Schizosaccharomyces pombe: one gene and its partners. The gene in region 2 interacts genetically with the main gene of each other region. Each region holds a gene or a part of one and is shown on either strand. Other genes may lie near its edges.

What was found. Genes that interact genetically often act in the same process or in processes that back each other up.
Region 1: mutations in bmt5 (region 2) and png2 together harm fitness more than expected from each alone (negative genetic interaction), as found in Schizosaccharomyces pombe (2 studies listed by BioGRID).
Region 3: mutations in bmt5 (region 2) and hrp3 together harm fitness more than expected from each alone (negative genetic interaction), as found in Schizosaccharomyces pombe (2 studies listed by BioGRID).

Annotation. Positions count from the first base shown.
Region 1 is NC_003423.3:1,120,033-1,123,723, forward strand, and holds png2 (chromatin modification family protein Png2), read right to left. Parts: upstream 1,930-3,691; 5' UTR 1,918-1,929; coding exon 1,866-1,917; exon of another isoform or gene 1,826-1,865; coding exon 1,754-1,825; exon of another isoform or gene 1,707-1,753; coding exon 913-1,706; 3' UTR 629-912; intron 573-628; 3' UTR 550-572; downstream 1-549. Other genes in the region: Cu chaperone Atx1, read right to left, coding at 74-149; GTPase-binding protein Rid1, read left to right, coding at 2,796-3,214, 3,353-3,500, 3,569-3,691.
Region 2 is NC_003421.2:2,235,546-2,239,200, forward strand, and holds bmt5 (rRNA (uridine-N3-)-methyltransferase Bmt5), read right to left. Parts: upstream 1,613-3,655; 5' UTR 1,579-1,612; coding exon 1,092-1,578; exon of another isoform or gene 969-1,091; coding exon 607-968; 3' UTR 516-606; downstream 1-515. Other genes in the region: erm2 (aminopeptidase), read right to left, coding at 1-434; transcription factor TFIIIB complex subunit Bdp1, read right to left, coding at 2,002-2,243, 2,288-2,435, 2,474-3,123, 3,174-3,655.
Region 3 is NC_003424.3:5,375,815-5,383,462, reverse strand, and holds hrp3 (CHD family chromatin remodeller Hrp3), read right to left. Parts: upstream 5,640-7,648; 5' UTR 5,537-5,639; exon of another isoform or gene 5,048-5,536; intron 5,042-5,047; 5' UTR 5,037-5,041; coding exon 4,845-5,036; intron 4,788-4,844; coding exon 813-4,787; 3' UTR 550-812; downstream 1-549. Other genes in the region: proteasome receptor/ubiquitin ligase adaptor Dss1, read right to left, coding at 9-151, 192-233, 340-370; U1 snRNP-associated protein Prp40, read right to left, coding at 5,764-7,648.

The sequences.
Region 1 (3,691 bases), on a different chromosome or scaffold from region 2:
AAAACCATATATAACAAATACTTATATAAATGTAAATCTAAATACTTAAAAAATGACTTTTTTTAAAACGCACCCAGACGAGTTAAAACGCGATCGATGGCATTTTTGCAGCCATCACAAGCCATAGCAACGTTAAATTGGTACTTCATTATCAGATGATCAAAAATTCAACGAGATTTGGACAAGAAACTGTTAATTAACTTTTTTGTAACACAAATAAAAACAGTATTTAAAATTCAAGAAAATCCCAATTTTAAGAATTACTTTAGATGAGAAGGAGGGAAACGATAAGTTGGAAAATCCATTAGTAAAAGCATTTAGACGTAATGCAAGGAGGTATCCTTAAAAAAATAACGAGAGAGATATATTTGCTATAGATGTGTGTCAGTAATAATGCACTAAGCTATGATACACTATGTTGTGTATCACTATTTGTCATTACTTTGAATACTATTTAAATTCGCTTTTGAAACATGCATGAAGGAATTTCCATTTATTAACAAGTATGTAAGCTAACAAAACAAATTCAAAGAAAAAATTTAATAAAGTTTGCGCCTAAAATTGCTTCCTTACTTCAATGACTAGTTACTAACAAATTTCTAATAAAAATAATTATAATATTACTTACTCATACATATTGCATCCGCTTTTTGTAGATTGCAAACAAAACACACCGTAGTTTTACATATCATTAAATAGTATACCGAGATACGTAGCTGATGGTTGTATCCTTTAACGAAACCATAAAAATCGTTATAAGGGTTTTATGAGGTATAGAAATGTTGTCGTTAGTTTAATTGATTCAGTAAACAAGAGCAATGCAAGCAGTGGTAATGGATGTTTCATAACGATGTCAAACACTGAGAAATTAACAATAAAAAGAAGGTGAAAGAAAATAAAAAGGATCCCGGCTCATTGACGACTTTCAGATGATTTTGCTAACTCTTCACATTCTTTACAATACCAGATCCCCTTCGGTGGTTCTACTAGACCAACGCAAGGTAAATGGAACCATTCTCTTTTACAATTTTCGTTATCACATCCAATCATTTGTCCATAGGAAACTTGTTGACAGTAACAGTAAAGTTGCTCACCTTCACGGCTGATATCACTTGAATCTAATGTGTCGTGTTTGACAAGTGGTTCCCCATTTGTCTGTTTTAAACGAGATTCTGATCTCCGCACTGGTCGCCTCTCCGTAGATTGCGGCGCATGCTTTGTACTCGATAATGGAGGTGATGATGATTTTCTAGGAACAGCATTTTTTCGACGCTTTGTAGGGGTGTGATAAGAAGATTGCGGCGATGAAGCGTCTTCAAAGTTGTTATATGAAGACGACCGTTCCTGAGAGGAATATTGCTGGGAATGCTGGTTATTTTGATGCCGACGGGTTTCCCGTCTCCTTTCAGAAGTTTGAGGAGTCACAGTAGAATGATAATTCATTAAAGCTCGATCGTCTGGATATCCCAATCTCAATTGTTGGGGAATCTCCAATTCAACATATTCAAACCCAGCATCCAAACGGTCGATACAACTCTTGATATTATTCATTGCGTCTGTGGCCAAACAAATCTTTGAATCAGAATATGGAAGTATCTCTTTTAGTGTCTTTTGTAATCGCTCACATCTTTCTTCTCCTGACAATTCGTCATTTTTCTCGTTTTTTAGAACCACACCAATTTCCTGTATGACATTTTGACGGATATCTAAGATTTTGTTAACCACACGTTTTAAAAATATATATTTCACTTACCTCGTACTTGTGCATCGATCTCTTTCAAACTCGTGAATTTTCCACATACTGATTCAGGGACTGAAACAATGGCTGTAAAATGTTAATCAATGTGTTTATTTTCGCCTCTTACCATCTGTGAAATCATTTAAAGCTGCAAATATTTCAATTCCACTCGTCCCCATGATATTGACACTAAGCACGTTACGTTGTGCTGAGTAGGAAATGTATGTCCCACCTACTTCTCTCACTTTACTACATCCCTACGTGAAATAGCAAAATTGTATGTTTAATCTATTGATAGAAAGAAGTGATTCTATTATAAGCGACGCGTTTTAATGTACCAGAATTCTAGTATAATTTCAGCACTGCTTTGAACTGTAATTTTTAACGACATTATGTTAGTTCAGGTAATATGAGCCTTCTTGTTTAACCATACATTTCCAAATAATCAATTTATTTTAGATATCGGTTCTACTACTCAGTTAGTTGCACCTTCATTATAATAGCAAATTTTGGATGTCCGAAATATTTTTCCTTTTCACAACCTTCAGTGAATTCCAGATAATTGAGAAGTACATATTAAAATTCTTACCCAAAATAGACCGAGATTTACTATATCTTAAAGCTCAATACATTCTTATTTTTCCATTCTTCTCATTTGACTTACATACGATAGTGTATATACCAATATCAAACATTAACTCAACACGCGTAATCTCAAAATTTTGCAAGTTGGATTTACTATGTATAGCTATTAATGAAAATAATGATAGGCGTAAATAGTATGGTTTATTAAATAACGGAAGCTTTCTCTTTTTTTTTTTCGAACATTCATGTGCTATTTTCCTTCCCTAAGTCTAGGGCCATAGCTTAGTATTGTACATATTAAAAATTGGAACAACCGTTCCGCGTATTAGCCTAATTATTGAATTAATTCCCGATATTGTCCGTTTCATGTTCCTGTGGCTTGTTCCTCGGACGCGTCAGCGTGCCATTTTAATATATACCAGCCCTCCCATTTCTATGTAAATATACCACACGACTATTCCTTACACACATTATGAATTCTCTACGTTCAGTAAAACGGCTTTTAGGTGCTCGCTCTTTGAGCTCTGATGGGCTCTCTGAAAGCGTTAATTCTTCTGATCGAGAGGATAGCTTGAGCTTTCAGACTCCTTCAACCCCTTCTGAAGATGAAATGCCACAATGTTTTGAAGATTTAATCAAGCCTCAAGTTCTTTCTTCAGAGGCCTCAAAGAGTTTACTTTCCCTTAATGAAGGAATTAAAATGGAAATCGTGTCCAGTTTACAGCAAAAAGACCAGAAAAAGCGAAATAAATTAATTGCTTGGATGCGTAAAAAACCATGTTACGAGCAACCTGACGACTTTATTTCGTATATTGTAAATACAAAAATTGACTCAATCGATGAATCTATCATACACAAATTAGCTCTACTTCTCAGAAACGAGCAAGTAATGTATGTTTACATTTTGTGCAGCTACGTGAATCAAAGTGGTGATGCTTAAATTATCTTTTTTTTTGGCACTACTATTGTTTTGATTGAATGATAAATCATTCGTTTATTTTGAGGTTTTTCATACTAACTGCAATACAGATGGGTAGAGAAGTTTATACACAACGGCGGTTTCGGTGTAGTATTTTGTACAATCGACAAAATCTCTCGCCTTGAATGGAGAGAGGAACTGCACGATTCTATACTGGAGCAACTTTTACTTTGCGTTAAAGCCATGTGCACTGTTCAGGTATGCATGTGATATACATTTAGACCTATGTCTTCATTGCCTTTGACAATTGCTAACGTTTTTCCTAGCGCGGATTGGAATGTTTATCTCAATCCACTTATAATGTCGAGCGATTGATTTCCCTTTTGCTTTCAAAGAAACAGCCATGTGATTTTGTCGTAAGGGAAGTACTCGTTCAAATAGTTCACTCC
Region 2 (3,655 bases):
GACAGGAGTATGGGAAACAAATCCTTCGATTTCCCTTCGAATTTAACAAGAATGTTATCTCCTTCAAAATATGTAAGAGTATCGTTGTCAGTCGATTCGAAAGTAATGTTTGTTAAAGTATCATCGATAACTGTAATATATGATTGATTTGTAGCTTCCAGCTCTCGCATACTTTTTAGTATGTAGGATCGAACATGTTCATTTTGCTTGGAATTATAGGGATGAGGCAAACTTGATATATACTCTAGGTCATTCCAAGCTCGTTGAAACTCCAAATCTTTTAGCAAATTAGGTCCTGGAACTTGGGCAATCCGTTTCCAATCTAATAGATATAAGATAAGCAGTACAGTGAATCCAAAAATCGAGCAGGTTAAACTGGACTGAAAAGCCTTAGCACATATGCGTTCAAATATATGCCGTCTAGAATTTGTCATTACAAGATATAATTCGTAAATAAATTAATTAATTAATGAAGATTTAAAGGAATGTAGATTAATATATGGCGTTGAAAAAAGCACGTTGGTAGTCGATATTGACATCAGCCAATCTCAGTATTACTATATACAGTATCTTCTGCTATTCTCAAATTCACTTAGGATAAAAACCTTAGGAAGAATCACTTGAATCATCGGAGAGCTCACTACGCTTCCTTTTTTCCTTCCTCTGGTTGTAAGGCTTTATATTACTTCCATTCACCACAAAGCAATAATGTCGTGAATCTCGCAATTCACCTTTCCATGGCGATCTCTCGCTGATTCCATCAATCCAACCGATAGTTCTTCTGTGTGAATATTCGGGATAAAAAGAAGAGTCAAACTTTTCAGTCATCAGACTCGTATACCCTGCATCCTTGGCTAAACCTTTCAAATTCCACAAAGTGTAAGGTTTGGTCTCCGCTAAAGTTATTACAATTACGCCTTTTTCTGACAGAAGGAATTTAGATGCTTTAAAAAAGGCAAGAAGCATTTCTAGAATTAATTAGCGATATTCGAGATATGTCTCATTAAAAGTAATAAAAGCTATTATGAACGGCGTTTCCAAATTTATTTTTTAAATTATTTACGAATAAAAAACTTTAACTTCAAACTTACTTTGATTATCCAAAATGTTGCGGTCTTGATCCTTAATTCCTTTCCCCGAGTGAGGAAAATTCCAAAATATAGTATCAAATTTTTGTGTCTTAAGCTTTTTATGCAGATGCAGTTTCGTTGCATCAATTTCATGCATAACCTTTCCCCCATTTATTTCTATTTTTGAGATGTATTCAGCAGCATCTGGATATTTCTGCTTTAAATCTTCTTTAGAGTCATAGCTGGTAGCTAACACAAACCCCTCAGATGATACATGATGTAGCAATAATGAAAAAGCAAACGAAAAGTTGCCTTCTCCCAATAATAGAAATCTATTGTTTTTTTCAAATGGGAGTACATATCGCTCAGTGGGGCCTTTGTTCTTCCCTTTTCCAATTTTGTCGTTTGTTAAAGAATTCTGGCTATTTATACTTGACGAACCAATAGCATTATTTAAATTTCTTTTTTGAAGACGTCTTGCTTCTTTAAAACGAGCCTTTTTCCCCATATGAATGAAAACGATTGTTTTCAATTATTTGGCTAAAGACACTTCACTACTCGTGGATACAAATTTAGGTGTAACCCAATGTTCTCTTACTCGCTTGCTTAATCTTTAAAATAAAAAGCGAGTTAAACGGAATGTAAGAATAAAAATTTTCACGACAAACTAGCAATAAGTAAACTAGTATTTTCTCAATGAACTGTTTTGATATATCCTAATTTAACTCTTGCTTAATATATCTTTAGAAACAAATATACATCAGTTTAGTGAAATATACGATATATATGGTGAAATGTTTGCGACATTAAATAAATAGGTTCAATTAAACTCTATAAGAAAACTTCAAAAAAGATCTAAAGAAAAATTAAAAACAGAAAAAAAAAACAAATAACAAAAATTAATTGATCAAACCACAAAAACAAAACGAAATTAAACCACTTGCCCGACTACCTCGACTCCGTCCTCAAATACATAAGACTTATCGTCGGTTGGAGAAGGCGCATTCTTTTCTTGCTCTAGCTCATGGTTGACGATGAGCTGTCTTTGTTCTGCAACTTCAATTGCGCGACGTCTTTCCTCTTCAAAATTTTCACGAATTTTTTGCAATTCTTTCTCCATTTCTTCAACCGGACGAAACACCTTTCCTGAAACTTTACTATATTCTTCCATATCTAATTTAAATGGTTATTATTTGAGTACTCACACAATGTCTTACCAATAGGTTTTTTAATTTTCAAAGCTTGATTAACACGTGCAGGATTTCTTCTTTCTTCTTGTTTAAACTTTAGTTTTATCTGTCGACGATTACGAGTTGGAAACATATTAGCAATTAAAGCAAAATCAGTTCCCCACTGTGATAGAGCCTGCCATGTCAGTAAATACGAGCGCAATTCCTCCATACCTTATAAAATTTTTCAGTATCCATAGCGTTCCATTTCTCAGGTTTCTGCCTATTTCCCCAAGTAGCACTTGTAACCCGACGACTTAAAGAATTTTCTTCAACGTATTCGCGTTCCTCTGCTGGTACAAAATCACGTTCATGACGGTCGACTTCTAGTGAGGTTTCATCCAGAACAATTTGGCCATTAACAACTCGCGTACGAGGAGTTGCAGAGTAATTGGAGTTGTTATTCAAACCATCAACTTCCATTTTATCTGCTAACTGATCAAGAATAGACTTTGTTGGGTGAGAGAGACTATCTTCGAGAGAAGCAGACTCATCCGTACCCTCTTCTTCCAAACTTCCTACTATTTCTTCTTTCTCTTTCGGTTCGCTTGATTCTAGAAGACTGGCACTCAAAGGCTGTTTGATGGTAGAATCTAAAGACGCTTCTCGACTAGAGCTTGCAGTACTTGCTCCTTGTTTTTTAATCCTCTTTGCTCGTTTTTCCTCAAAAAGCATTTTTTCTAATTCGATAAATCGTTGACTTTTGCGGCCAATTCCAGGATCATCACATAAAGCAGACATTTTGGTTTCACTTATGTTAATGATTTTCTCGTCGGTACCCACGTTTTCCAATATCAATTGACTTTTTCTTTTCAAAGAAGATTCTATGATGTTATTAAATAATGCATTTTAGATTAACCCTTTATTTACGTACCTCTATATGAACGGCGAGACTTTTTTGTAGCCGGAGAATCCGCCTTTCCGTCACTAACAGCACTGAGCTGAGAAAGGGGAATGTTCTCATCAAAAAACAAATCTAATTCCTTCATAAATTGCTGTTCGGCTGAAGAGGATAAATCGGTTTCAGGCGACAAATGCTCAATAGCATTTAACGGCTGCTCAAGAACCGTTGGCTTAGAAATTTTAAAAGTAGGATTTGAATGCAAAAGTTTTTCATTTTGTTTCACTGAATCATCTTTTCTATAGGATGAAGCTGTGGGATTTTCAGTTGCCTCTTTGTGAACTACTGTTTGCACAACCGGACTAGAAATATCAGCATTGGCAGTATCACGAGACAGCTGAGCGGATGTTTCTACTTCGTTTCCTGTGAGGGGTTGATTTTTTTCTTCATGAACAACCTCTTTTTGGTCCGATACTTTCTCTCTACGGGCTGTAAATTTAGGGGCAAACCTTGAC
Region 3 (7,648 bases), on a different chromosome or scaffold from region 2:
GCAATATCTTAATTGGCGGCAACACCCTTCTTTTTTAACTCTGCTTGTAATTGAACAGAAAAATCATCGTCTCCAATGTCCTCATCGTCCCAATTGTTTTCCCATAGCGTATCATCTCCAGTATCAAGCTCTGTATCTTTCATAGGCCAATCTTTTTGATGTTAAATAATTATTTCTTTAAAAGTACTTACTTTCTGTTGCGAAATCTTCAAACTCATCATCATCCTCAAGGTCTAAGCATTATGTTAGTAAACGTCTTTAGGCCAACGAAAAAATCATAGACATTAGCATATCGAATAAATAGTACTCGAAAGCCACTCTAAATAATTTGTAACGTACTTTCTAAGCTTGGTAAGGCCGCACGAGACATTCTAATTTATAAACGTGATTTGGTGTGAAAGGTGAACCCTGCCGTACTGTGATGTTTGAATGAACTTTTCACTGGTAACGATGTCTACTGAGTTACACTATTATATTTACAAACTGCATAAAGTTGCAGACTAATAAATAGCAGTTTGCCATTGATATTTCAATTAAAAACAAATTGTATTACTGGATTATTCTTATCTATGCTGACTCTATGTTCTGAATACCGGAGGATTTCCTAAAGTCAAGATTTGAAATGCAGGGTTTATTAACATTATAATTAAAGGTACAATAAGAAACGATTTTTAGACTAGAATTTAGTGATCTTTGAAATGTAGCAATCAAAATTGAAGACTGTAAAAGATAAACATATTCGAGCTTCAAACCTAAAATATTCCGGATGAAAAATGAAGAAACAAATTGGCTTTTGTATGACAGGCTAAAATCTACTTCATCTTTTCATACATGCTGATCAAGCTGGTATATTTAACCTCCTCCTTCGGCCAAAAGTAACATGCAAACATCCATAAATTCTTCCTAACAGTAGCTTTTTCTTCGGAGGGTGTATCATTGACAGTTTTTTCAATATGCTTTCCAATCGTTGTCAAACACTCAGTAAGTAACTTCACCAACTCCGCGCGTCCAAGCCCACTAGAATCTTTCCGAAGTCTTTTCATATGCTTACGGACTGGATACATCAGTTCTTTGCAGCGTGCCTTTTGTTCAGCATTTAGACTTACATTACCATCGTCTTTTTCAGATTTGACGGGTGAAGCTGTCTGGCTGCGAGACTGTTCCCTACTAGGTGTTTCAATCTTCGTGTCTTTAGAAGAAGGTTTCTTACGAGATTCTGAAATTGCAGGCGATGGTGTCCTAGTTGCACTCTCTATTTTTTGCGCAGATTTAACGTTAGGCTTGCCACTTTGTCTGCGATTAGCCGTCTGCTTCTTAGGTTGAGTTTTTCCATTAGTACTAATAGCGGGGCTTGATTTTATGCCAAAATTTTGGTGATGCTCACGTAAAGCACTAAGTAGGTATTCACCTCGACGAACCAAATGCACAGCTGAAGGTACCTTTTTCTCTTTATTTTCTTTATCTTTGGGGACAGAGTTGTCTGTTTGTTTTGTGTCTTCTAAAAAGATCTTGTCTTTCATTTTGAGTTCTGGATCATCTCGAATTTCTAACCAAGCTCCAAATCCATGCTTACAAATTCCAGAAAGCAACATGGAATCTTCTCGGGGTCCCCACTGACAGGACCAGCCGTGAACAGATCTAACGTGCATTGGAATTTGGAAGTTAGAATATCCTGACGTTGGCATAGCATCATAAAGAATATCAAGATCATTTAGCCTTTGTACCAATGTTTCAGCATTTATATTTTTTACACCTTTAAATGTAATGAGCAGCGCTTTACGAGATGACTTATTATTAGACTGATCATTAGATAAGTCCTTCTCGGCTGCTGATACAGCCTTGCGTGAAGCGGTTACTAAGTCAGCTGCAATCTTTTTTATTACGTGAGCATCTTGCGTAGTAAGATCAGCATATTTAACAATGTCATTGTAGCGATGCTCAAGGCTTCCATATCTAATCATAGCACGATAAAGCAACCGAATTTCCTTTTCCAGTAAAACCTCATCTTTAAGCATTTGCTTTTTGCTCTTCCTTTCAGAAGTTCCAGAGTAGGATGGGGATTCCACCGCAGAGCTAGGATAAGGACGATTACCTCGTCTACTACTAAGCTCAATTTCTTGCTTAAGCGCTTCTTCCTCTTCTCTTAAGCGGTCTTCCTCTTCAAACTTCTCACGTTCAGTTAGGGGTATAATATCATCCCAAGATACATCTGCCTTATAGTCTGTAACTTCGAACTGTTTCAAAAACTCTTCACCACCCATGCTGGCTCCACCCACATCATTGGAAGTATCATGATCTTCGGCATGTTCCAAAATTTCATCTAAATTCATATCCTCAAGCTTCTTTTGATTATTCTCTGCTTTAAACATATTAGAAGCTCCAAATTTCAAAATAGCGCTAAGCTCTTCAGCAGAAAATTTATCATTTTTGGAATTCTTTTGCTTGTCTGTAACACCTAATGAAATAATTGCATATTCAAGAATCATTTTACGACGTGCACGTTCCAAGACATCTTCTTCAATCGTATCTTTGGAAAGAAGCCTGTATACCATAACATGATTTTTCTGACCAATGCGATGCGCACGTGCCATAGCTTGTAAATCAGCTTGAGGGTTCCAATCGGAATCAAAAATAATAACTGTATCAGCAGTCATTAAATTAATACCTAATCCTCCAGCTCGTGTGGATAATAAAAACACAAAATCTGGGCTGTTTGGTGCATTAAAATGATCTATTGAAGTTCTTCGTACAGCAGCAGGGACAGTGCCATCCAGTCTCTGATGTGGATATCCCCTCAAAGAAAGATAATCACCAAGAATGTCAAGCATACGAACCATTTGACTAAAAATTAAAACGCGGTGGCCGTCTCGACGAAGACGTGATAGAAGTTTGTCAAGTAACACCATTTTCCCGCTGTTCATAATTAAACCTTTTAAGACTTCATCTCGTCTTCCTTGAGAGTTTATTTTTTGCATCCATGACTCTTCTACTCCGTCAAATAAGTAAGGATGATTACTTGCCTTTTTCAACTCCACAACTATGTTTAGTAAAGATATTTGACTTCCCGAACTTATGCTTTGAGTAAGGACACGGTAATTGCGAGTTAAAATATTTTTGTACCAGTACATTTGTAAGTCAGAAAGCTCAACACGAAGGATACGTTCAGACTTAGAAGGAAGAGATTTCTCAACGTCTTTCTTTAATCTTCGTAAAATGTAGGGTTGTAAATGCTCCTGTAAACTTCTAATATAAGCTTCCTGCTCCTCATCTGGTGCTTCTAAATTAATTTCCTCACGAATCTCAAACTTTCCTGGCATCAGGAAGTCTACCAAAGCCGCAAGCTCACGAATATTATTTTGTAATGGTGTTCCAGTTATAAGTAATCGATTTGAGTTCTTGAACTGAGAAAGTGCTTCATAAAGTGACGATTCACTGTTTTTTAATCGATGAGCTTCGTCAATTGCCATATATTGCCATTTTATATTACTAAGCACCGAGCGATCTTTGAGTACATACTCATAAGTAGTTAGAAGCAAGTTGAACTTTATTTTCTGAGTTCCATCAACATAAAATTCGTAATCCCTTATTACTTGCCTTGAGGTGGTATTTCCAAGGTAACTTATACAATTCATATCAGAAGCCCAAAGAGCTAATGTCTCTTGCCAGGCAGGAACTGTAGAAAGTGGAACAACTACAAGAAAAGGTCCATGCTGTCTTAAAGAATGTGCAAGATATGAAAGAAAAGCCACAGTTTGGACTGTCTTACCGAGACCCATTTCATCGGCCAAAATCCCATTTTCATTTTTATGCCAAAGATATGCCATCCAGTTGACGCCTGTAAGCTGAAAGTCACGAAGCTCACCACCGGTTATATACGAAGGCTGTTGCTCCAGTTTTCGATACTTAGGACGCGAATTACCATAGTTTGTACCTCTTGATGGACTAAGAGCACTTTCTTCTCTTTCTTGAAATGCCTGAATTTCCGTGGCAGCAATAGGCTCAATAATTGAGGAAGCTTCCCATGTGCAAAAATCATATAACAGCTGCTTCCATTTCACTAAGTATTCAACTGAGCCATCGGAGTTTAAGTGTTTGGCAACAATTCTGTCTACCTGCTTATATTCCTCGTAATTTTCACGCTTTCTCTCTTTTTCAATATCCATTGCTTCAATGTCTTCACGCGTAGTGGTCGGATCTTCTCGAATTTCTCGATCAAGAAGTATGACTTGCTTAATGTGATTGTCGACCTTTTTAGATCCTCTGATCATAGAAATGTTATTGTAAGGTTCCCATGTACAATGAAGATGAGAAAAATTAACCCATTTAATTAAAAACTCATAATCTTCAGAAGGTGTAGAGCCATCGTGTCCTTCAATAAGTCTATGATCTAAAACGACATCTATAGCTCGTGTATCTTCAGGTTCTTCAGAAACTTCAGTTGCGTACTCATACATCTCTTCTTCCTCTTCTTCTTCAAACGATTCAAAATACGCGTCTTCGTTATAGTTAACACCTTTACTATTTCTAGAAGAAAATCGAATTTCATCTTGAACGTAGGTGTTTGATTTTTTTTGCCGAGATCGCTTTTTGGGAGTTCCGCCATAAGAACTATCATCTGACTCACTTTCCTCAGAGGTGACAGATTCAGCTTCATCGTCTAAATCGCGAATTGTTCGATGACGAGAAAAAGATGAACCATTTCTAGTACCTTTACGATGCTTGGATGGGAACACATCTTCTTGATCATCAGTGTCTACATATCTTCCTGGATTACTACGAGTGCGACCCTATAATGATTAGCATCTAAGTAAGTTTCATAATGAATAAAATAATGTGAGACATACAGAACGTCGAAGACCGTAAAGCTCTGGGTCGAGCCATTCAGTAGATTGTAATTTGCGCTTGGAGGCTACGCCGCTATTCGAAGGGGATTCGGACATTTCCTGCTTAAGATTAGGGGTTTCAGTTTGAACGTGATCCAGCTGCTCAATAGCCTTAGATGATGACAAAGCAAGTGCTATAGCACTTGTACTCATATCAACTAAAACAGAAGTTAGAACCAATTTCGCAAATTTCTTATTGCAAAACTTTTCCGAAATTGAAATGCTGAATAATTGTGAAATATGTAATAGGCTTCCATCCAACTTCTAGTTAACTGAGAACTGCCAGATGCCACTTTAAATGTGAATATTTATAACTCTTGACTAACGACTATATTTAGACGAGATCCGAACAGATTTAAATAAAGAACACATATTAACTCCCGTATCTTTTCGATAGGAAGCACTATATCGTTCATTTTCGAAGAAAGAGCAATTTTGAATAAAAGGTCGAATGCCACCAAAAAGATTGTATCACAAGAGAAACAAGCAAAACATAATAAGAAAGAAGGTTTTTAAAAAAAGAGAGCTACATTCAGTGCATTGAACAATGTAGGTTTAACAAAAAAATGCGACACGTGGATCATTCACATATTCAGCGTCAAATTCGGAAAACGAACTGTGGCTGCAACAAAATTTAATAAAAATTTACTTACGCGTTATTAAATAGAACGCTTATAGCAGTATTTTGCTATTTTAATAGCAACTTGCTAGTTTTGTTACAAAAACAATTTTTGAGGTACTGGTGGTAGAGGTTCAAATAGCTACAGGCTGTATCCGCTACTAAAGGTAATCAAACTGTATGAATACAAAAAGCGAGTTGAGAGAACATTAAAATGCATGTGTATTAAACGCACTAACAATTAAATTTCTAACTTGAATACTAACGAATTTCACCTTCTTCACTAGATTCTGCATCATCAACAATATTTTTAACAGCCGGTTGTGTAGCGGTAACATGAGAGATTGAATTTTCCTGTACATCCTGCATCGTATTAATTTCATTCCTATTACTTTTTGACGCTAAGTCAGCAGAATATTCCAACCTTCCATCTTCGTATCCGCTATGTGGTCGGGCACTATTCGCTAAATAACTTTCATCTTTACCGACATCATAATAACCTCTTCTGTTTTGGTATTGCTTTTCCAATTCCCGTTTTTCTCGAAGCCGTCTTATATATTTGTCAAAAGCAGCCATCCTGTGTTCCTCGGAATGGAGCGCAGCAAATTCCGGTAGAATAGAAATTAAAGGTCTAATTTCATCGTAAGAAGCATCGGCAGAAATTGGAGGTTTAAGGTATTTAATGGCACTTCTGAGATTATCAATTTTCCTTCGAATGCGTCGTTCATCAGCACGCTTTTCCTCAGCTTTTTTGTGGATCGCTTTATCACGTAATCGATTAACAACTTCTTCAATAAGGTCTTCAGTTACTGCCTCACTTTCCTCTCGATCTTTAAGCTTTTCTGATAACCTTGCTATAATTTCAGGAATATTAGATGTGTCATCCACAGATATTTGCAATACTTCAAGACAGTCCAAAACCAAATTACGCTTTTCCCGATACATATTCTCCAAATCAACGATCGTATCCCAAAATAAATCTAATGGTGTAGAGCCAGATTGCCCTAGTAAGTTAAGATATCTTGGATCATCCTTGATTATGGGATATAATTCTTTCCACTTCGTGCGTAATGTAATCTTCTTTTGCACGCGTAAGTCTTGTAATAGCGCACGAAAGGCATCACGATTTTTCCTTTCTATACGATGCTTTTCTTTCTTCTGCTTTTGTTTGTCAAGAATATATTCGCGTTCCAAATGCTTAACATGATCTTCAAATGCTACAAGAGCATCTAATTTAGAAAGATATTTCATATTTGAATTCCTTGTATACCTTGGATCTTGATCAAATTTTGCTTGCGCAACGCTCCAGCGGGTGTAAGGCTCGAAATTCATGTTTCGCAAAAGCGAACAAAAATCATCCAATGCTTCCTTTCTGCGATCCTTTTCCAACTGCTTTTCATCCTCTAAAAGCTTTTGCTTATATTCAAAAAATAGTTGTTGTTGTTCAGTTTCAGAAGAAGTAGCGTTAAAAGCAGGATGAGAAGAAAATTCATTCTTCACAGTACGCCACAAAGTATAAGAATGAATTTTATCACTACTTTTTAGCATCTCAATAAACTCCTTCCTAATCTTAGTTACTCGGTTCTTTTCTGCATCACTTTGATCGGTCAAATAGTTTAAGATGTACGCATCGAAAGCACATTTCCGATGCCAAGGATCCTTCATGACATAATAGCCCTTAGCATCACAAAGCTCTCGGACAGTCTGCTCCCAAGTCCAGCTTGGGTTGACATTATGAGAGTCTAAAAATTTAAAGAAAGCGCGCTCTGCGGCTTCATAGGTATCATAGTTTTCGTGCTGATAATCATTAGAACGTTTTTGGCGCTTATCCTTTTGTTGAACAAAGTTTATAGTTCGTTTATGACTGCCTTGTGAAATTTGTTGGCTTTGATCTTTAGCTGGTTGACTTGAAGGAGCAGCAACATCCGGACCATGCCGTTGAATGCTTTGAACAGCTGGCTTGTTGTCATTGCTTTTGATTTTAGACGACAAAGCCTTTTTTTGCTGTTCCGGTTCATCAACAAGGGCAGCTTTATATTCATCAGGAATATCCCACACTGATTCACGGGTATTGACATTATACCAATACTTTTTGCCATCAGCGGTGGCATATTCTTTCCAAGCTAGTTTCGAAAGCTTTTTTTCA